Linked DNA regions of Caenorhabditis elegans. The protein of the gene in region 2 purifies or fractionates together with the protein of the main gene of each other region. This does not show direct contact. Each region holds a gene or a part of one and is shown on either strand. Other genes may lie near its edges.

Evidence for each region.
Region 1: the proteins of gldi-3 (region 2) and C05C9.3 fractionate together in Caenorhabditis elegans (co-fractionation; one large-scale study listed by BioGRID). This does not show direct contact.

Annotation. Positions count from the first base shown.
Region 1 is NC_003284.9:11,148,340-11,159,409, reverse strand, and holds the start of C05C9.3 (ULP_PROTEASE domain-containing protein), read left to right. Parts: upstream 1-6,589; 5' UTR 6,590-6,597; coding exon 6,598-6,661; intron 6,662-7,248; coding exon 7,249-7,391; intron 7,392-9,186; coding exon 9,187-9,301; intron 9,302-9,343; coding exon 9,344-9,476; intron 9,477-9,516; coding exon 9,517-9,601; intron 9,602-9,778; coding exon 9,779-9,973; intron 9,974-10,180; coding exon 10,181-10,463; intron 10,464-10,508; coding exon 10,509-11,070. Other genes in the region: C05C9.2 (uncharacterized protein), read right to left, coding at 1,867-1,949, 2,000-2,035, 2,100-2,182, 2,227-2,278, 2,332-2,533, 6,035-6,090, 6,133-6,192, 6,242-6,344.
Region 2 is NC_003280.10:9,273,554-9,284,623, reverse strand, and holds gldi-3 (Germ layers disorganized gldi-3), read left to right. Parts: upstream 1-4,525; 5' UTR 4,526-4,583; coding exon 4,584-4,684; intron 4,685-4,735; coding exon 4,736-4,816; intron 4,817-5,918; coding exon 5,919-6,039; intron 6,040-6,087; coding exon 6,088-6,367; intron 6,368-6,418; coding exon 6,419-6,489; intron 6,490-6,538; coding exon 6,539-8,419; intron 8,420-8,472; coding exon 8,473-8,595; intron 8,596-8,638; coding exon 8,639-8,839; 3' UTR 8,840-9,600; downstream 9,601-11,070.

The DNA.
Region 1 (11,070 bases), on a different chromosome or scaffold from region 2:
TCGCGCTCTCATAGAGGTCGCCGCGCAATTTGATTTGGCCTAATGACCGCTCAAAACATTCGCCGGCTTTTTTTTCATTTTCTTCGTCCAAAAAAGGAACAAACTGTCCGATGTATGCTTTTCATTTTTGACAGGTTCGACAATGATAATGATTACGATGATAATGATGAAGATCAGTGAAACAGGCGCACAAAAAATGAATGAGAACAGAATCTCATTTAAGTGAGTACAGTGAAGTCATATAAAAAGTTGCAACAGGTTTGACGTTGGGATTGTATTACTAATGTTATTGCAAATAGTGTTTTAAGAATTGACTGTTCAAACGAATTTTGAAAAGAATAATAATCTCCAATAAAAATATACTAATAATATTTTATTTAAAAATATATTCATGAAGCAAAAAATTATATATGTATTTTCTTGCGAACTGGTGCGTTATGTTTTATTTGTAATGCAGAGATTAGTTTTTAGAATAACCCTCACTGGTTTTCTCCTTGAATATTGTATTGGAAGGCTCAAAATGATGAAAAATCCAAAATAAAGACTTTAAGGAAGCAAGCGAATATTACAAATCTTGGAGCCTAGTAGACTTTACTTGTTCAGTGGTTTTATTTACTTATGTACCAAGAGGTTTACCAAGAGGTATTTGGAAGGTGTTCACTTCCGTTATTAGTCTTGCGGTCGGGAAAGTGTAACATCACGGTTACTTCTTCAGAACTTCTCCGTTTTTGATTGAAATTTATCTTCAAGGGTCATTTGTCACAATTCGCACAACTTTCTATTTAAACGCTGACCACGATGTTTTGCTTTATTGCCTGTTCTGTTTGAACTAAAGGTTTTTGCGGGCGACTTAATGAACAAGATGCTAAATTCGAAACGCAAATCTTGGCACGTTGGAGATGAATTATGGTGGTTAAACGATAAGGGACGGGCTCCCTTTGCCGCTTAGGGTGTGCACAGAAGGTATGTACACATTGTTGGCTATATTGAGCAGTACTGTCCAAGGAAACAATGAGAAAATGTTTGTCAAGCAAAGTGTGACCATTTATTATATTCTTCTGGAGAATTCAATGCGATCATTACTGAAACTATACAGATAGACTATAGTTTAAAGACTGAAAAATCAAATAAACAAAATTAGAAACATATCGTAAGATTTTGTCAACATTTATTCTATTAGATATTAATTTTTTGTTTTTGAATTTACATTCAGTTTTTTTTTTTAAATTAGGATACTAAGAATAGAGTTCTAAGAAGGTAGAGTACGACAAACTGGAAAATGAATAAAACGTATTTTTATAATGCTAAAATAACTTAACATCCTTGCAAAATTTCCACAATTGATAGTCTACCTTTACAAATTTGATTAACGTATTCAGCTTGAACTTTTAAGTACTGTCACATACAGTTGCCAACATAGCACTAATTGTTTTTTATTTGTTATTGTAATTTACATCTTACCATTTGCAGTGGACACATCAAAAATAAACATCAGTGAGCAACAAATTGTTGAGATTCATTCAAGATGTTTACAGTGAGCACCAATTTGTCGTTTTTCTAATTTTTTAGTAGTGAAAATTTCAGAAAATGTGTCACTTGTGGATGGTAGGAAGCAATTTTGCAGCTGTTGCACATATGGAATTTGTGAGCGATCTTCTCTTTTTACTATATTTCAACACGTATTTCGATTTGATCATTTTGTTTTCTCTCTGATTTTCTTACTGAATTAATTGTGTTTTACTGCAAAGCTTGTGAAGACAAGAAACATTTGTTTTAGTTTTGACGGAAAATATAAGAAATGGAGAAAGTAAGATTTGCCACAATGCGATATGGTTTCAAATAAAAACATTTTCCAATTACGTTAGGTTAGAGATCTAAAATACTTCCTTCATATTTAGCATCTGGTGATCGAAGACTGGGAACCAGCAATTTTGGCGAACGGAATGAGCCTTAACTGATGTAAGTATAAACTTATTTAAATTGTGTTATTATTACTCACCATTGGCTTGTTGTCGCAAATCCAGTGTGCTGTAGTCTGAAACTGTTAAGTGGTTTTTAAATTGATTTTATGCATTTTCTTTCATCTTTTTTTCCCTCACCGTTTTCATCGTCACTCGAAAGGATTGTTTCATCAGTTTGATAATGCTCTATTGGATTTGAAGCTGATTCGTGGTAAGTGTCCCTGAAATTATTATTTTAAATTGCTTATATTTATGAATACTTTACCTAAGTATGTCGTCAAGAGTGTCGTCGTCGTCCATGATGTAAGGCGCATCCCCTGGAGACACAATAATTTGTTAGATGTTTTCGTAAACGATTATTAACACATACCTATTGAGTACCTTTCCTCGTCAGAATCGAGTAGCTCCTGACGAAATTTTGCGTCATCCCACACAGGGTTATCGAAAAATATCATTGTAGTATCGGCGTCTTTTGTGCTTTGTCGTTTTGCACGTTTCTTACTTCCCAGCGTCAGTGATTGAAATTCTTCTGGCAGAGATGGCAGAGGAACTTCGATGAAGTTTTGGGAGTCCTGAAACATTGAAAAATTTATTCTATTTCAGTATACAAGGTTCATCTTCTACTACATTGTTGGTTATGCATTTATCACTTTTTACCAACTTAGCTTTTGAAACAATTCAGAAATCATATCCAAAAGCTTAATTGAGGTCTGAAGTTCTCCACAGACTCTGAACAAAGTGTTTCCACTTCTGATTAAGGTTAAATATGAGCGTAATAACGTTGGAAAAGTAGAAATAAAATATTAAAATAGAATTGCAGTGAAGTTTCTGATTGATTTGGAAATAAAACTTATTCTCGCTGAAAAATTTTTGCAGGACTTCACATAGAGGCCTAGAGGTTGCCGGCCGCCGAACTTACCGGTATTTGGTACTTTTTAACAAAAAAAAGATTCAATTTCAAATCAATCAAACACTTTACAACGTTTCTATTTTAATTTTTGTTTCAAAAAGTAGGATTACTATACCGAGATAAGCCGTTTTGTGCAGTTGCCGATCTGGTTGCCGCACAACCCTGAGCCTTGGTTATGAACAACACCTAATTATGTTTTAGCCACATCATCACCCTTAACATTACTCATTTTGCAAATACTTCATTGGTTTCTTATCACATAGTACCTTCTTCACCCCACTTGTCGTGTGCCCTTTTTGAGACTAACTCTTTTCGTTTAACATTACACACTTAGCAAATGGCAAATGGTATTTGGACGCAGTGTAATGTGTGAAGCAGTTCTTAACAGTTAAGTTGTACAGGCATGTTTTGTTAGACTTTTCGATATCTTACAAACTACACAAACAAACTCTTCAGCTCGAGAAGTGAACAACAGTGGGAAACAAAAGCTACTTGTTTTTTCATTGAAGTAAAATTAGTGCAATTTTTGGAATTATGGAATTAAATATAAATTTTGTGAAATCCCCAAACCTTAATTTTGGCATTTTGATTGAATTTGAATCGTCTATCTTCATTCAAATTGACATTGCCATGACAATCTTTTTTCATTAAAATGAAAGAGGCTTGTATTTTATGTAATGGCATTGCACTCTCTGTTCTTTCGCGCCCAAAGCAATCACAACGGTATGCATTCACTTTTCCCTTCGATTTCATATTTTTGCTCGTCATCTTTCTCTCTCTTTCTTTTTTTTCGCCCAATTCACTTTTCCAAATCTCGTCTTTCTGATTTACATTGATATTCCCAAGGAGAAAAACGGAGAAAGACAACTATCCCTCTTCTTCACGTTGGCTATCCAATCAGAAATTATAGACGTTTCGGTCTATGGCGCTGGCGTTGTCAACTTCATAGCTCCTCGCAACTTCTAATTTAACACGGGCGCGCTGTCCCGTTTCCCCTCATCGCGTACTCCTCTGGTCAAAAAAGGGATGGCTGCATCGCATTGATTTCCGTGTGTCGCTCTTTCTGTTGTTCTCCTCAACATGCACACAGATTGAAAAAGGGGAAAGATGGGAAACTATGAAACGGAAACCACATTATAAGAAATAACATGGGGAATATATATTCGTTGCATTAATATGTTTCAATGTCGAAAAGAAGGGGCGATTTTTGAGAACAGCAGTGAGACTCCTTTATTTCTCCAGCCCTACCTTGAAACGTTCTCATTCTAAACACGTATTAAATTGGTACAGAGGTGTACGAACATTTGAAGATTGAAGTATCATACCGTAGAAACTCTACGCAAGAATGTGTGCATCTATATCATCAAAGGTTTCTTCTCTGCCTCTATTGAAAACGATAAGGAATTGGTTTCATTGTCTTCTGCTCATGCTGCTCATGCTAGATCGAGCCACTGTTTATCAAAGCTTCCATCGTTATCACAATATCACAAGTTTCCAGTATTATCGAACAACCCTCTTTGGCATTTCTTCTTCTTTATTTTGGTTTTCCAACGTCATACAATCACTCCTACCGACCACCGGTAGGATGTTGCCCGCCTCCTTCCTTCTTTCACATACACCTCACAACAGGCTCCTTCCTTCATATTCTCGTCTTGGCTCCGAGCGCGACCGCCGTCGCAGCCATTGCCCTGGTCGCCGGTCTTCTACCCTTCCCCTCTTCTGACTGTGGCGCTGTTGGAGCCCAATTGACAGCAGAATGCTCTACTGATAGTTACGAGTGAGAGTAAGATTAGCTGCTGTGTTGCTGTAGATCTTCTACACGTATTTAAATTCCGGCCTCGTGTTCGTAAGTCGTAAAAATTGTGTGTATATATTATTTTTTGCCCTCCGAGTTGCTAACAGGAAATTTTCTATAACCGTGCAAATATAACCTCTTGCATAATTTTATTGCCTTTTGATAATAAGTTTCTAATGTATACAGTAGCTCACTCATCCAATGAAGGACAAAAAACAACTTTTTTGAATTTTGTGATTTGTGCAACAAAAAAGGGAGAACCTGACGTTTTCTGTCCATAGGTTACTTTTGAGTTTTTTCTCACGTTTTATCTTATCGATCTTTTACATACCTTGCACAAATTCTATCATGAATGACTATTAGTTAAGTACGAAAGCCGCGATACTTTTTCATTATATTGCGTAAACCTCTTTGCTTATTCTGTTCTCTACACACTCTCTTTTATAAATCCTTGGAAAGAGCACTTGCTTGAAATCCTCTTATCAAATTCAAAAAATACTAACAACAAAAATGTGCAAAGTGGCAAAAAATATTGTTTCAGCGTTTTGTAGAGACAGAAAGTCTGAGAACCAGCGACCATAAACTAACGTAACGTAACTGATTAATGAGAAAAATCAGAAAGATCAAACAAAGTAGCTTCTATCCAGGCACAAAATACTTTACTGCAAACCAATAACGAATTTTTATCTTCTGGGAAACTGGAAGTTTTTCGAAGTGTTGCACATTGATTGTAGGCGCGAAGATAGGGATCTTTACCGGTTTCTACGACTTGCGCATCAAAACTTTGCTAGACAAAATCGTAGAATTATTATAATTTGTTTTGATGGTTAATTTTTTGATTACGGGGAAAACCTAGCCAGAGGAACGTCTAACAAAATTTTGCGGAAAATTGAAATATTGTGTGTAATTGTCAGACCCTGAATTAGTTAACCTCCCAGTTTTCAAATAAGATACCGTTTAAAAAAAACATCGGTGTATATATTTATTAATCTTTTTAAAAAGTGACGTCACACGAATCTTATTGTGCGACGTCAGTACAGAAATCCGAGTCATAATTTTTTGAAACTTCTGGAAATCATTTTGAGAAATTCTTTGAATACGCGTGTTTGAAAAATAAAAAAATTTTCTATGTATTTTTTTTATATGTATATATAATTTTACTTTATTTTTCTAATTTCATCAAAATTATCGTTCCAATTCAGTTTGAAAAAATTATTATTAAAAAACCTAGAAGCTTCAGTTTAATTGCCAAGTTCAAGTTGACCTGATGCAGGATTTTTCTGATATGTCTCACACAGAAAATATTTTATTTGATGACCATTTCTAATTCAAGATTCTCAATAATTTGAAATATGTAAAAATATTCACCTTTCTTGCTGCCATCTCCATTATTTCCTCGAAAACTCCTTTTGTTTTCGATTTTCCTTAAAGAATAATAATTTTTCGTTGTGTTTTTTCTCACTCACCATTTGTCATTGGTATTTGATGATCCACTGATTCTGACATTGTTTTCATTCTTCTCAATTCTCAATTTTGTTATTAAATTCAGAAACTCGCAAATTATTTTGATCTTACTTGTTGTGTTTATGAACCTTTCGTGAAACTTTCCACATTCTCGATCGCACGGCCAAATCTCGCAGTATAACTGAATTCCCTGATGAAGCATTTCGCGATACATGCTGAAAAAAAGAGAGTGAAGTCATAAATGATGCTCGCACCGAAAGCAAGAGTGACCAAAAACGCAAAAAAAAAAGAGGGTGTGATAAATAAAAGTGTGAAGGCATCGTCACGGGTAACTAAGGGCAACAGTGTAACCTTTTCTAGATACGTGTGATTTTTTTATGTTTACTTATAACGGTAACCAACGTACCACTTAATTGTTCTGCTGTCATTTGAAATTTGACATTAATTTAATAATTATAGTTTCGAAAATGGAGGACCTCGAAACTTCAACTTCAGACAACGAAGAAAATCATCGTTTGACTCTTTATGACAGTACGTTATTAATTCCTACAAAAAAGAAAAAGTAAACTACTTTGTAAAACAATTGAACCCTTTTGCTGAAATGTTTTTTTTCTCTTAAAAAATATAAGTAAATATCATTTTTCGATGGTTTCCAAAAAGTTTTAGAATAGTATTTAATGAATCATTTTAAACATTTATTAGTGTCCCGAGATTTAGCTAGGTTTGGCAAATTTTCTTTGTCCAACATGATTTAAAAATGTAATAAATTTGAACCAAATCTCATTCAAATCTAATTATTATATTTCGAACATTTGTTTTCTAAAGATTTGATTCTAAAATTCTATTCGCACAGTACATTAATTATTTAACGAATCCTCTCGGCTGAGCTCAGTAGTATTTTTTGGAAACTAACCTAGTTCTTCAACATCGTATACAGTGATTGAAAATTATTCAAAAAAAAATCATGTTTACTTGAAAAAAAAGGAAAAAAAGAGAAAAATACAAAAGATGAAAAAGATGGATGAACAAGTGGATATATTTTAAATTGTCTTTGAAAAAAAAGTACTCTGAAACTTTGAACTTTGAGTTTGAAAACGTTTCAATTTTTAATTTTATAGAGTGTATACAAAGCAAGTGGTATCTGGATAAAGCAAAAACGCTTAAGTCTCCTGAACAAATAGAAAAGCTGGGCAGATTATTAAACTTTTTGGACCAAGATGAGTATCATGACCGAATCGATTATTTGTCGGATCCAGTGCAGGTGAATTTTTTGTACACAGTATAGAACATGAGAAAAGTACTGCTTAACATAAATTTTTAATTTTTTGGATAATAAAAAGTAGGGTTGTAGGCAGCGTTGCGGCTTCATTAAAAACATATAATGCTAGACTTCATTTTGAAAAATAATGCACATGTTAGTTTTCTCTCAACCAACGACTGCTGAGTATTTGTTGCCTGGAGCCTAAGAATTGGTATAGAAATATTTCGAAAGGAGAGTAGGAGATGAAGTGAAAGATAATGATAGAAAGAAGAGGGTGATGTAATTATAGCTGAAGAGAAACCTTTCAAAGGATGGATTAGCAACAAAGATTCTCGAAATTGAAGATTTAGTTCAAAAGAAGACTATACATAATGCATAACAGAGAAAAACGGATAGAACGTGACTAGCAAAAGTGATTCTTAAAGATTGCTGAATAATTTCTTTGAAATTCAAACTTTAAGCATCAAAAATTATTAATCATGCAAAATTCAAAAATGTTATAATTCCGGACATGAATGAGTTAAATATTTAACAATGACAACGAGTAAACAACGAGTTTTTGCATTGATGAGAAATTCAGCACGTTAAGTTTTTGCGGGCGTTTTGAAGCTATATTATTATCGCACTAACATAGCCAAAAAAAAAAAAAGTAAAACATTGTTAAGTTACAGCAATTAACAAAATCTTCAATTCTCAAGCGCCCTTGTTGTGAAAAAATGTTTACCAAATTCTTTGAGAAATACCCAGAAATAATCATCTCCTTCGTAAACTTTTGAAACTTTTCTAAAAATAAAAATGAAGAAATATAGGTTTTTCATTAGAAGAACAAATGTATTTATTTTATTAAAATAAAATAGTTTTTTGTTTTTAGCGACCAACAATCATTTTTTTTTCAAAAAAGTTCATTTTAAGTAAGATATTAATTTTAAAAGTTATGATAATTAAACAAATCTCCAAAAAAAAGGGAGACTTATATATAAAAAATACAGTTCGTCTGTCCATAGTTTGTAGTCTATGTAGTCTTTGTAGTCTGCGGAGTTTTGGCTTATGAAGGGTTATTGGTGAATGGTTAGTGGGGAGATATTAATTTTAAAATTATGAAAACTAAATAAATCTCAGTATAAAAAAGGGGTCATTTATATGCCTGAAAGGTCAATTTTTTTGATTGAACTGGAAGCTTTTGGCACCTAGAAAAAATTTGCATTTAAATTCTGAAAAACGCTAAAAATTTCAAACAAGTCCCCGAAGAAACATTTCCAAAAAAGTTCATTTCAAGTAAGATATTGATTTTTAGAATCATGAATACTTAGTAAATCTCCCAAAAAAAAGGGGTCATTTATATGCCTGAAAGGTCAATTTTTTTGATTGAACTGGAAGCTTTTGGCACCTAGAAAAAATTTGCATTTAAATTCTGAAAAACGCTAAAAATTTCAAACAAGTCCCCGAAGAAACATTTCCAAAAAAGTTCATTTCAAGTCAGATATTGATTTTTAGAATCATGAAAACTTTGTAAATCTCCCAAAAAAAAAGAGGTCATTTATATGTCTGAAGGTCAGTTTTTATGATTGAACTGGAAGCTTTTGGCACTTAGAAAAATTTTGCATTTAAATTCTGAAAGTTATGATAATCAAACAAATCTCCAAAAAAAAGGGCCATTCTGTCTGAAGGTCAGTTTTTTTGATTGAACTGGAAGTTTATGGCACTAAAAAAGTTAGTTCTTCTATCATTACAAATCCAACTAGGCTCTTACTTTTTATACCAGATCTAGAATATTCGAAAGTAGAAGAATTTTCAGTTAAACAAAAATGAGCTCCCAGTCGACACCCCTGAATGCTTCTACAATCTTACAATGATTCCGGAATTTTGTACAATGACTTCTCGCCAATTCTTTTCTATGATACAATCTGCAGGTAAACAAAATGTTTCAAAACTCGGCTAAATCCATTTTGCAGACGATAGGAAATTCAAATCTGTAATTGCAAAACTTGGTGTATACTTTGACCATCCACAAGAAACATTTTGGGACTTAATCCCTCTTTTCACGTTGGGAGATGAGACGCATGTTTTAGCATCAACTTTATTTCGGTAATCATTGGGTTATTTTAAAAACGTGTATAGTTTCCAGATATGCAACGAAACTGTTTTCCCCTTCAATAAGTGGCGTTATTCGGATTAAAACGTTATTAAGGTTGTTGAATATGGGGCGCCCGGTAAGTATTTCTTTTAATGGAGTAAATGTAACACACTGTAAATAAAACCTAAAGTAAGTCTCAGAATACTGAATCACATTTAAACGCCAGTACAAAATTTTGATTTAGATCTAGCTTTTTACACACTTTCATAAATACATAAAAAATGTGAGAATTTCCCGAGCTGAGAACATTCAGCATTTTGGTCGAAACAACAAACTGGCACTATCGAGATACTCATGGACAAAATCACGCGAAGATTGTTATTACGGAGTCGATGCAGCTTTTAAGCCATTTATCATCAAAAAGCATATAGTTCCTGAACGTGATTATCCACTTTCCAAAGCTACAATTGAACCATTGCTTGTTGAAGAAGAGGACTACGCATCATTTGTGAGTAATAAAATACTGATGTTTCGATTGTCGTACATAACAAGGAAAAATCCTGTAATGACTAGGTTTATTATTTTTTTGAAGATTAAATTTCGGACAGAATGAAAAGCTTTAAAAAAAATTTAGACTATAGCTTAATTTCGGTCGTTTAGAGCCAATTGTAGTCAAAGCAAATAACCCACACACTCATGTTTTATGAATTTACAGGACTCTGAAAGGGCGATTGTACTGCTGTATCATTTTCCGCAAATTATATTGCCATGTATTGGAAAAAAGCATTTCAAAAAGTGGGATCAGTATTATTGGGAAGTGGAATCAATGTCAACAAACACGTTAAGTTGCATTTGCAAAAACAACATGGGAATTTTTATGCACATTCAAGAACACTTCATCTACAAATCGCCATCAGGTTTCCTCTGTTGGGGATGCTTCCCACATAAACATCTCCTCCTTGTAGCTTGCGCGAATTTTTTTCGGGATATGGTTAAAAGTGAGTAGTTGACTGACTTTAATGCCGAACAACACATATTTTCAGATCCAAAAATCCGAAAAGCCGCAGAAAAAAGAACTCTACCTAAGATCGAAGATCTTTACGAGACTTTGAGGAAAAAGCCAAAAACTCGTTGTCCCGCTAAAGAGGAACGCGACGTCATAATCACTCGTGGTAAAGCACAAAACGTTTCGAATTCAATAGAAGTTGTAGTAATCGATGACGATGATGATATTGGCAACATCCAGGAGGACAAAACTAACACAAAACGACAAAGTGCAGAAGATGAAGAAGAATGCGATCTCAATGTTTGGGCGTTTTCATGCAACTCAACTATTGAGCACAAGGAAGCTGAAGAGCTAATCAGTCATTTGGAGCTAGAATCTTCTCAGAATTCAATTCATAACGACAACAGGAAGAAAAACGAAGACTATGACATGGAAATTTCTGAAATCGAAACAATCACTCAACGCCAACTTGAAGGTTACGGAACATTTAACAGTCCAGAGATGAAGAATGAAAGGATTGTGAATTGTGAATTGAAAAGTCAACCTTCTTTAACCGATATGCATTCTGAACTGGCCGCAACTAAAGGAAGACAAAATAA
Region 2 (11,070 bases):
GGTTTAAACGTCGATTCGACCTTGTTTGAATTAGAAATCTTCTGTTTCGTCTGCCGTCGTAGTGTAACAATGGGCTCAGATTCGGCAAGGAGAAAGTTCGGCGCCGCAAGATTTGAACGATGTGGGTGGTTACGGATGACAATTATTTGAAAATTCCTAATATTAGTCAACTTTCGAAAGGGTTAGTTAGAATAAAATATCATATAAAATTTTGATATCGATTTCTTTAACGTGCATTCCGTGTACAGTTTCAAAAAGTCCAAAAACAAAAAAATCAGGTCAAAACCTTGAACCCTCTAGTTAATGTAAAATAAAAATTCGAAGACGCACGTGCAAAAACACAGCAATTGATCGCTGACTGGTTCGAAGGGGTTGTGTCAATGACAAGAGAATCACGAGACCCTTTTGATAAGAGAAATGATGATGATGGTGTCTTGAAGAGGGTTAGGGGCAGCTGTTTAGTTGGAATAACACATCAATATGTGTACAATTCCTCTAAAACATGTGTCAAAGATTACACATGAAAAGAAATAAAAATTCGAAAAATTGTTTGTCTTAAAATGTTTTTATCTGAAAAAGTTCCGGAATAAGTCACAAATTAGAGATCAAACAAATTTCCGGATTTCATTCATTTTTCAATATTCAAATCAGCAAACGAAAAATTCGAATCTATTCGAACTAGTTCAATTAACACCCCAACTAATTTTGGCAGTAATCGTCTCGAAAAATGAAGGCACGACGCGGAGAACTGGTTTCCTATTACTAAATATGTCAGGGTTACAGAAGAGAAGAGACAAGGGCATTCCGTTCCGTTGGTTAGATCATTATCATCAATATTTTGTTTTTAGTTTATCAAGAATTGTTTATTTTAGTTTTGGTTCGCAGTAATAACGGGATGTGGTTTAGACTTCGAAAGTTACGGTATCTTAATTTAAAAATGACGTCAACTAGACTATTCTCTAATTGGATAGAATTTAGTCAACGGGTTTTAGAAATCAATCAGTAAATTATCTCAAAATTCGTCTCTACTAGAAATTTTCAATTTGAAAATTATAGTCCAAGAAATGAGATACAAAAAATTCCTCCAAGAACAATTTAAAAAAATAGAAAAGGGTACAAATCCATTCTATTTACGATCTTTTCTACAAATTTCTCCCATGCACATAAAGCTACAGTATGTCGGTTGATTTTCTAATGGAGACGGCTCTTTTCTGACTTAAAAGTTGAGAGAAATATAATTTATATTTCTGACTACATCTAATAGTAAGAAGCTTGAGAGCGCTTAAAAATTAGAAATTACTAAAATAATTTAACTTTTTAGTAAGTGTATGCTTTTTTCGAATAATTTAAAATAAGAATTACTCAAAAATTGTAAGATATTTAAGCACAAAAACTCTTTTAGTTAAACGAACAAAGCACTGTTATACATAAGCATGTATGTATATATCTATATAACAAAAATGTACTATAGACTCAATGTTGAAGGGAAGGAAAGACACAAGGGCAGGCCAGTTCGTTTCGTAGGCAATAGAGACTCGTTGCGGCCACCTCTCTCTTGCAAACGCTATTTCCTCGCTATCCTTCACTTACACACTCGCACATAAGAGACCGCCCGTGTCTCGAGTCTCCACTTTTTACATGCTCTTTCATCAAGTATACGGTGTCTGATGCATCTCTCTGGTTTCTCTCGTCTATTGATTGAGAAATGTGTGGGGATAGGGGGCGCAGCACGACGAAAAACGAAAAAGCGACGTTAGAGAGATGGAGAGTGTCTGTGGTTGTGTGTGTGTGTGCCTCAACCATCTTCGGCAGAATTTGTTGAATAGACATTTATCTCACGTTTTTTTTCGTAGATTTGAAAAGTAGATTTTTTCCGCTAATTTTGTTATTTTATGAGAATCTTTTAACATTTAACTACTTACTTTTATAAATTCCGCGCAATTTTCGTTCAGAAGTTCAACATTTTGGATTTTAGAATAATGATTTTTAAAATAACTGAAATACAATACAAAATTCAATTTATTTTATGTAAATTTAAATATTTTAGTTCAGAATTAGAAAAAAAAACATCAAAAATAATCCAATTTGTTTTGTTTTTGAATTTTTATTAATGATTTTTTAATATCATATAATACTTTTTGCGAAAAGAAATGTTCGTTATTTTCTAATTTTCAGTGCCCTTGGTCTTTTAATTTTTTATAAGTAGTCAACTATTATATAAAATTCAGAAAAATTTCCAATTTTTCATTATTCGTTGCTAATGAAATTTTAGAAAAAGAAAATGTCACGAGTAGTATATTTTCAAATTTATTATGCATATTTTTGGAATTACTAATGTGAAATTTCTTGGTGTTTAATTTTGGTCACTTTTGGAAGTTAAATGAAATTCTCGGAATCGTGACTCAACTAGACTTTTTTTTCAATCAAATTAAATAATTTCAGTGGTCTTTGTTTTGTTCAATTATTCCTTCAAAAAGTTATGAATCATACTTTATGAAAACAAAAAAGAAAAAAATCAATTAGTGACACCTGGCACCAGTTTTTTCCAGCTGCTGAACAGATTCCGTATTTTATAGTTTTTTTTTCAACTTTTTACGGAAAACTATTGACGAAAAATATGAAATAATCAATATTGTTCTGTAAATTCCTCATTTTCTGAACAACCTACGCACAATTTACAATTTTCAATCCAATGGGGATACTGTAGAAAAGGTTTCTGAACGAAGGAAAAGAATGTGAAAAAACGGGGAAAACATTTCGCAATCATCTTTTCTCTCTCACTCTAAGAGTTCGTTTTCTTTTTTCTTTTCTCTCGCAAATACACACACACACAACGACACATCCATTATTTCTCCCCCACACACACAATTTTCCGCTTTTTTCCTGATGCTCCATTGCTCTTAGCAATTTTCTGCGTGTGTGTGGAAATTATCCAATAATTTTATGAAAAGTAACTCTATCAATTAGCCCCACGGACTACCAAAATTTCTTGGCATTTGCCTGTCATAAATGTATTTTATGGGGTCGCTGAGCAGCACTTTTCACCAATTTTCAAAGCCCACTTTGTCCAAAAAAGGCAGATACTGTAGTTTTATGTGAAAATTGAAGAAAATTGGAGAAACATGCTCTGCTAGACTAGTATTATCTACTTTTTTTCTAGACTACAATTTATTTTACGATTTTTATCTATTTTTGGCTCACGTTTTCTTGTTTCCAGGCAACTAGTTATTTTGGGTTTTTTTTCGTATTTTTGTAGACTTGTTGTGGAGATTTTGAGTACAAAAGTTGAAATGGAACATTAACTATTATTTATTTTTCAAAAATTTCCAAAAAAAAAGTGTATTTTTCATCATGAAAAATGTTTTCAAAGTTTAATTTTCCTCTATTATTTAAATTAATTCATTTCAATTTTCGACTCTCGAAAATAATAATTTTTGTGTCAATTTTTTCTGGTTTTCCTCAGCTCACACCGCTTTTTTCTCGATTTTTTGGGCTGTCCTCTAGGAAAAAAAACTTTTCGCAACCCATTTTTTTCATTTCACTTACCCTAACTCTCCATATGTCGTCTCCCGTCCGACACCAATATTGACATAAACTTTTTTCAAAAACTAAAGTACACAAAAAGGGTCCAGTCATTCATCAACGAGGGAATTGAAATCTTGAGAATAAAACCTTGTAGCTATTTTTTGAAATTGGAAATTGTTTAAAAATTCTCATATAGTTCTGAGATATTTTACTATCGTAGAAAAACGTTACAATTTTTTGAGACTTTTTAAAAATTAACAGTAAAAAATCAGGTAAAATAGTTTTGGAAGCCGACCAAAAAACCCAAAATTTTTTGAGAAAAAATCTAAAATTGTTTTATTTATTATGATCACTTTCGATTATTATAATTATATTTCTACAAAATCCCCACTACTCCACCTTAAATAAAATGAACATATCTTCAATTTAAAATCAAATACTTTGACACCTTCATTTTTCCATTATCAACTACAAAAAACAATTGTTGTCAATCTTTTTCTACCGTTTTCCGTCACTTTTTCAATTGACAGTCGACCGATTTATTTTTTGATCGATCGATCGTTTTTATTATCTATTCGATAATATGAATGATAATATCGTGCCTGTCCGTCTCTCTTTTTTCACTTACTTATTCTTCTATTCATTTCTGCAGCTGATAGTAATTTGGCTTTGAAAACGGAAAAAAACTATAGACAATGTTTTTCTTAATTTAAAAATATTTCTGGAACTTTTTACTTAATTTTTTAGCTAATCAAAAAAACTATAATTTTCACGATTTCAATTTTTTTTTTCAAAATTTCTGAAGACCCAGAATAGCGGCCGAAAGATCACATTTTCTTTCTATTAAAACTTGATTGAACGATAATTGTACTTTTCACACCACTGATTGCCTTTTCTCTCGTGATTGAATTTGAAATTCCTTTTATTGATTGTCGATCGTATTTCTTTTTTTTTTTCAAATTTCTCCACCTTCTCATTATTAAAATAGTTTTTTTTTCAGTAAAAGGGAATGCGCTGAGATTGTCCATACTTACCCTAATCACACAAAATTCTGAAAAATGACAACGGTGCGGCTTCATCTGCGTCGAATTATGTGCAATTCTAGTCGAGCACAAACTGCTCAGCATACTGAAGAAGAAAGGAAACGAACCATCATTTCGTAAGTTTTTAAAAAATTCATGTTGTTAATAAAAATGTTTGAATTTTTCAGATTGCAAGGTGGCAAATCGTTTGGTCGAGCTACAACCAACGATGTGATTTTTCTTGATGGAACGGAACATGTCGAATTGGAGTGAGTTTTCTTATTAAAGAAAAACAAAATATTATTCATAAAAATTCTTATAACGTAAAATCCAAAAATCTCAACCCCTTAATCAACTTTTGTGATTCATAATGTTGAATCCAATTTCACGTCGCCCCTCCCGTCGTCTATCCCATAGCAACCAACACAGCCATGATTTCTGTCTCGTATTGCGGTGGCACTTGGTCGACCAAAACTTATATATTTTTATGTTGTTTTTCTTATTCGGAATTGGTAGTCTCGACACTGTTTGTTAGGATAGGATATAAGGAAATTCGACAGAAAAATACGAAAAATTGGCCGAAATATCCCTTTTCTCTCTTCAAACCATTGTTATTTTCTACAAATTTATATTAATTCGCAAAAAAAGATCACAAAAATTGTTCTACAGTAGTATTATCAGGTTATCAGACAATATCTAATCCTTTTGCCCTTGAAATTTAAAATCTCGTTTCACTGATCCTTTTTCTCAAGGATAAGCAAACTATTTTTGAATGAAACTTTTGAATTTTTGAAAAAAAAAACATGAAAATGTTAAAATATTTCTCAATTTTCTAAACGAGTTTTCTTGGAACAGGTGGAAATTCACTTTTCAGCTTGAAGTCCAAGTTTTTCGCCAATTTATTTTATTATCACATATAAATTTTTCAATAGAAAAATAACTTTCTTTGACCATTTTGACCAAAATTTCCGATATAATGAGTTGCACGACCACTTTCTCAGTTTAATTTATGTATTATTTTATAAAAATATCTCCATTTTGAACGTTCCAATTATCTTTGTCACATAATAATAATAGTAATGTTTCTCATTGTGATTACTTATATTTCTAATAATTCTCATATATCTGACTAGACTATTTCAATGATAGAAATAATAATATGTTAATTAGAAAATCTAACTATACGACATGCTTTTCTTCTGTTTTTCCCACCTGCAACTATATACTCCCAGTTATATAGCTCTGACTATACAACTTTAATCTGTTTCGACATGTATCACTGAAATAACTAAACGTTTCTTATAAGTAGACATTTATGCAAATTCGAAATTTAAAATTTTCTATATAAATTAAAAATAAATCATGTTTCAGACCACAATTCATATCTCGGTGCCACGCGCGCGTTCATCATACGAATCAAGACGGTGTTGAGGAGTATCTTGTTGAGGATATATCAGAAAACGGAACGTATATCAACGATCGACGTTTATCGGTATTTTACAATTTTTACAGTAGTCTCCTAAAACCCTCATAATTGCAGAAAGACAAACGAGAGATTCTAAAAAGTGGCGATACTATCAAATTTGGTCATAAAAACGGATCTCAACACGTTGCTGATCAAAAATACGACCATCCAGACGCGGATTTTGCATTTTGTGTGGAAATGTCCACTGCTGGAGAGCCTGCTTATCAACTTGTTGAACAGATCAGAGACTCGAGAGTGAAGGTATTCGCCGGAACAGCTTGTGCGAAAGATATTGGTCCACGAGAACCTTCTACAACGAATAAGGTTCTTCAACAGGAGGCGGATTCGACAAACGGTAAGAAGCCTAGAAATTGAAAGTTTTGAAGATGAAAAATCAGTTTTTCAGGTGGTCCGGAAATGGAAAACAACAGAGCATCGTCTGCTTCATCAGCGACACCAGAAGATACTCAGATGCCGGTATATTTATTATCATGAATGATGATTATATAGAACTATGAATTTTCAGAGCACATCGCAATACTTCTGCTCCATCCCAAAGAAAACACCATTCCGGAAAGAGTTTGATTCTCCGCTGCATAACTACATTTACCGGACATCAAGGCATTCTCCACTTTATCGGAAAAAGCTGGCAGAACAAGCTCAGAGAATGGCCGTGAAAAATGGAACATTTGTTAACGATTCTGGAGTTATTGAGCTTCTTTCTCATCTATTGGATATTAATGTGGCTTATGAGAATCTGGTGACAAAGAACGAGAAATTGGAAATTATTGGAACGTTTTGCGAGAAAAACAAAGGAAGCTTCAAGGTGGACGAGCTGAGTAGACGAAAAGAAGAGTTAGCTGTGATGATGGAAGAAGAAGAACCACAGACAATTGAGATTAGAGAATTGCTCGTGTCACTCAGTGAAAAAGCACAGGATGTTCAATCAAATGATTTCACAATCTCTGCATCCAGCGCCTTCACAGTAATCAGCACAAGTGGTGTTCTCTGTCCAACAGCAAGTCTTGCGAACGAAAGTGAAGATAGTTATATACAACATCTCAAATCCATCAATATTTCAAGTGAAAAGTCGAGGAAAATTGCAGACGAACTGAAAACTGTTCGAAATTCGGAAGTAGCTCCAATTGAGAATAAGCCGCTCAGTCCGGAGATGATGGTAGTTTTGCACCGTCTTGTAAAAGCAAAGGAGCATAATAACAAAGTAGCTCACGTGTATACAGGGAATTATGCGAGCACTGTTTCAAGAGTCATGGAAATGGTTCCGATAACATCTCAAGTTGCGGTGATAACTACAGCAGGAACGCCGAAGCATACATCAAAAGGATCAGCTGAAACTGCGCCTATGGAAGTTGATGATGAGAGGCATTCTGCTAGCAGTGGATCAACTGAAAACAACTATCGAAGAAGAACTGATTCGGAAGAAAGTGAAATCTTGGACGTTGTTGGAACAGATGAGCCTGATAAGGACGAGAAGGGAGGAACTGAAACCGAGACTCCAACGCCATCCCCAGAAGATCATGGACGGCAAACTCAAAATAAGATTGACAAGAATGTCCGGATGAGTTCTACACCCAGAATTGACGCCCAATCAACACCATCAGCAGTTGTTTCTGCACTTCCCACTCCAATGAATTCACCGTTGCCTAGAGTAACTTCTTCAAAATCTGCGCAAGATGTGTCGACGCCTTCTACAACACCCAATCCGGTATCGCGATCGCCAGACCCTGTGGCTCTCGTTAAGGATTCGGTATCTTCAGAATCAACTGTTTCTGGCATTGTTTCTTTGGAAAAAATAGGATCACCTGCAGCACAATCTGTGGCTTCTGTCCTTCCATCTGTTTCAAACACAACATCCTCCACATCTGCATCTCTGACAACGTCTTCGGTAGCAGAGGAAGAAGAGACTTCTAGCAAAGAAAATACAGATCAGAAACGAGCTGTTGATGATTCATCAGACGAATCAGCTCGTCTTGTTAAACAAATCAAGGCGCTTTCGGCAACTCCATCATCCACACCTGCAGAATCTTCGAAGAGGAAACAAAAAGATACATCTTCCCGAAAAATGAAACAACTTGATGAATCATCTGCTGATTCTGATTCCGAAGATGATGGAAGATCGGGCGATAAGTCTACAAAACGAAGAGATAAAGCAAGAAGATCAACCCGAATTGGAAAATCAACACCTGCAAAGAAAGTTGGAAAGAAAGAAAAAGTTGTTGAAGATGAAGATGAGACTGATGATGTTCAAGAAGAAGAGAAGGTCACTCCACGAGGAGGCCGTAGAAAAAACATGAAAAGAACAGCCAGTCAATCAGCGATCAAGGAAAGAAAGACAAAAGACAAGGACGTAGAGCCAGAAGAAGCACCGAAGAAGAAACGAGGAAGGGTTCGTGATTTTTGAATAAACTTGAATTAAATTTCTAAAACTTTAAATTACAGAAGAAGGCGACACCTACCGAAGAAGAAGAACCACCAAAAACGGAGCCAAGCAAGGAAAGATGTGGTGTAGCAAAAGGACATTGTATATCTGCCAAATACGAAAAGAGAAAAAACTTACAATGGGTACACACTCAAAATATTTTTATTTTACAAATATGATTTCCAGGTTTCCTGCTCCATCTGTAATCAATGGTTCCACGTGTGGTGTGTTCGTCTTGACAACGTTTGTTATCGAGAAGACGAGACCTTCCTGTGCTGTGGATCACATCCATCAAAAGAAGCCAAAGACGCGTTAGCCGGTCGAGTTTATGCGAGGTATCAAGCAATGCCGAATAAAAAGCCAATCCCACAGGCTTCTGAAGCTTGAAATTTTTCATCATTTGCAACAACATCTTACCATTCATTTTATCATAATTTCGCCCCAGGAATAATTAGTGACATCGAGGTAGCATTTCATTTATTAAATATTCTTTCTAATCAATCATTTATAATCCCCCTATTTCTGTATTTTAAGATCTTATGTGGAAAACGAAATTAATTTTTCAATTTCCATACAGTTAGAGTATTTCCCCTCCAAAAAAACACGTTTCGTCTGTCTCTTTTGATTATTTCGCGGGTTAAAAAACTCTTATTTATGGCCATTCGGTTGATTTTCCTCTTTTTTGCCTAGGCGATTTCTTTCCTGTTTGTTTTTTTACTTTTCTTGTTTTTATTTTTCCTCTTTTCCCCACCCAAAAACTAACAAAAAAACCCGAGTTGTGAATTGTGTGATCTCTGGAGATTCCGCACAATTTTAGGATAATCTAGCCGGCGAGATTCCCCCATCATCCCAACATCATCATCTTTTACCATCCCAATGAGTAGTGTCGTTTTGTTTTCGGTTTATCTTTTTTTTTTACAAGTTTAATTCTAATATACTCAACCGATTAGCCTAGGATAATGCAGCCAACTGACTTAAATTTCTCACTTTTCCCTCTCAATAACTCGATATTCTTTATCGAAATTTGCCTTTTTTCTGTTCAGATTTCACATCAAAAAGAATGGTGTCCCCCGAATCTTTGATATTTTGCTAAAATTTGTATTTTTCATTACTGTTCGGTGTTCACGAATAAAGTTTGATAAAGTTTGATTTAATTATCTGAAAATGTCGATTATTTAATTTTCAGTTATTGCTTAACAGATATTTAATTTATTATGTAAATTTAAGTACATTGAGAGTGGAAATAAATTCGAATTTGATGTTCCAAACAAAGCGATGCTGTATTTGAAGAAAATAATTCTGAAAAAGCAATTTATAATTTATACGAATCACAATCTTTTGCCTCAGAAACTCCTTTCATTTTTCTTTCTGGAATTTTGACCAGTGAAATTGGGACGACAATTTTTAAAAAATTAGGAGAACAATACAGTAGCCCGTCGCGCAAAATATCTCGTAGCGAAAACTACAGTAATTCTTTAAATGATTACTGTATCGCTTGTGTCGATTTACGCGTTCGATTTTTTAAATGAATAAAATTGAGCAAAAAATGAGAAAATAACACGAAGAAACGAAAGAAAATGGAATATTGCTGTCACTTTTTGAAAAAAAAAAAGATTTTGAAAATTGAGCCCGTAAATCGACAGAAGCGCTACAGTAGTCAGTTAAATAATTACTGTAGTTTTCGTTACGAGATATTTTGCGCGTCAAATATGTCGCACAATATGCATTCTCCGAGTTTTGCGTTCCTGTAATACGAAAAAGGTTACTGTATCCCAGGGTTTGGATCGTAGTTTTAGAAATCCCAAAAAAAAAGTTAGGACTCTTTGATAAAAAATTTTGTTCGATATGATTTGAAAAAATAAAGTTCCGTCAACAAAATTGACAGCTGAAGAAGGAAAAGGCGGGGCCCCAGTGGGCATGAGTGTCCCCAAGTCATGCGGTTATGTCTCTGCGTCTCTTCTTCTTCGTATACTCTCATTTCAGCTGTCTCATCGTCTGAAACTCTTATGGCTCAATGAACTCTCGTTTCAAAGAGACAGCTGCAATCGAACAGAGAGAGAAAGAGTGAAAGAGAGAAAATGAGAAGACTGCTTCGAGACACAACCACTTTTGGTCGTACTGCTTTTTTTCACCTGTTTTCACATGTATCGATTCAAGTTTTTAGAATCTAAGTTTCAAATTTTGATCACTTCAAAAATTATTAGTTATTTCTTTTTAGTCTAGACTTTCCTCGCGAGAAACATGCTTAAATTTGAATATATATCGAAATGTTGTATTTCTTATCAATAGACAACATTAATGTTTACTATCGATTAGGTTTTGTACGATTATGTCGTATAAAAATGTTGCTAATGCATTTCCTATGATTCTTGATGTTTTAGAACGGATTACGAAATTCTGCAATGATCAGTCAAATAATTTAAAGATATTTAGTATATTTAGCTACCACCTAGATACAGTAACTGATTAAATCGTCTCACTTCTTAAGTCTATTGTTAACTCTTTTCCTTAAAAAAGGGTCTTCATGTCCTATTTGTTTTGGTTTCGAGACCTGTTTTGGGCATAAATACGTGCAAACTACGGAAAGTCATTCCCGGTTTCCCAGAGAATCAATATTT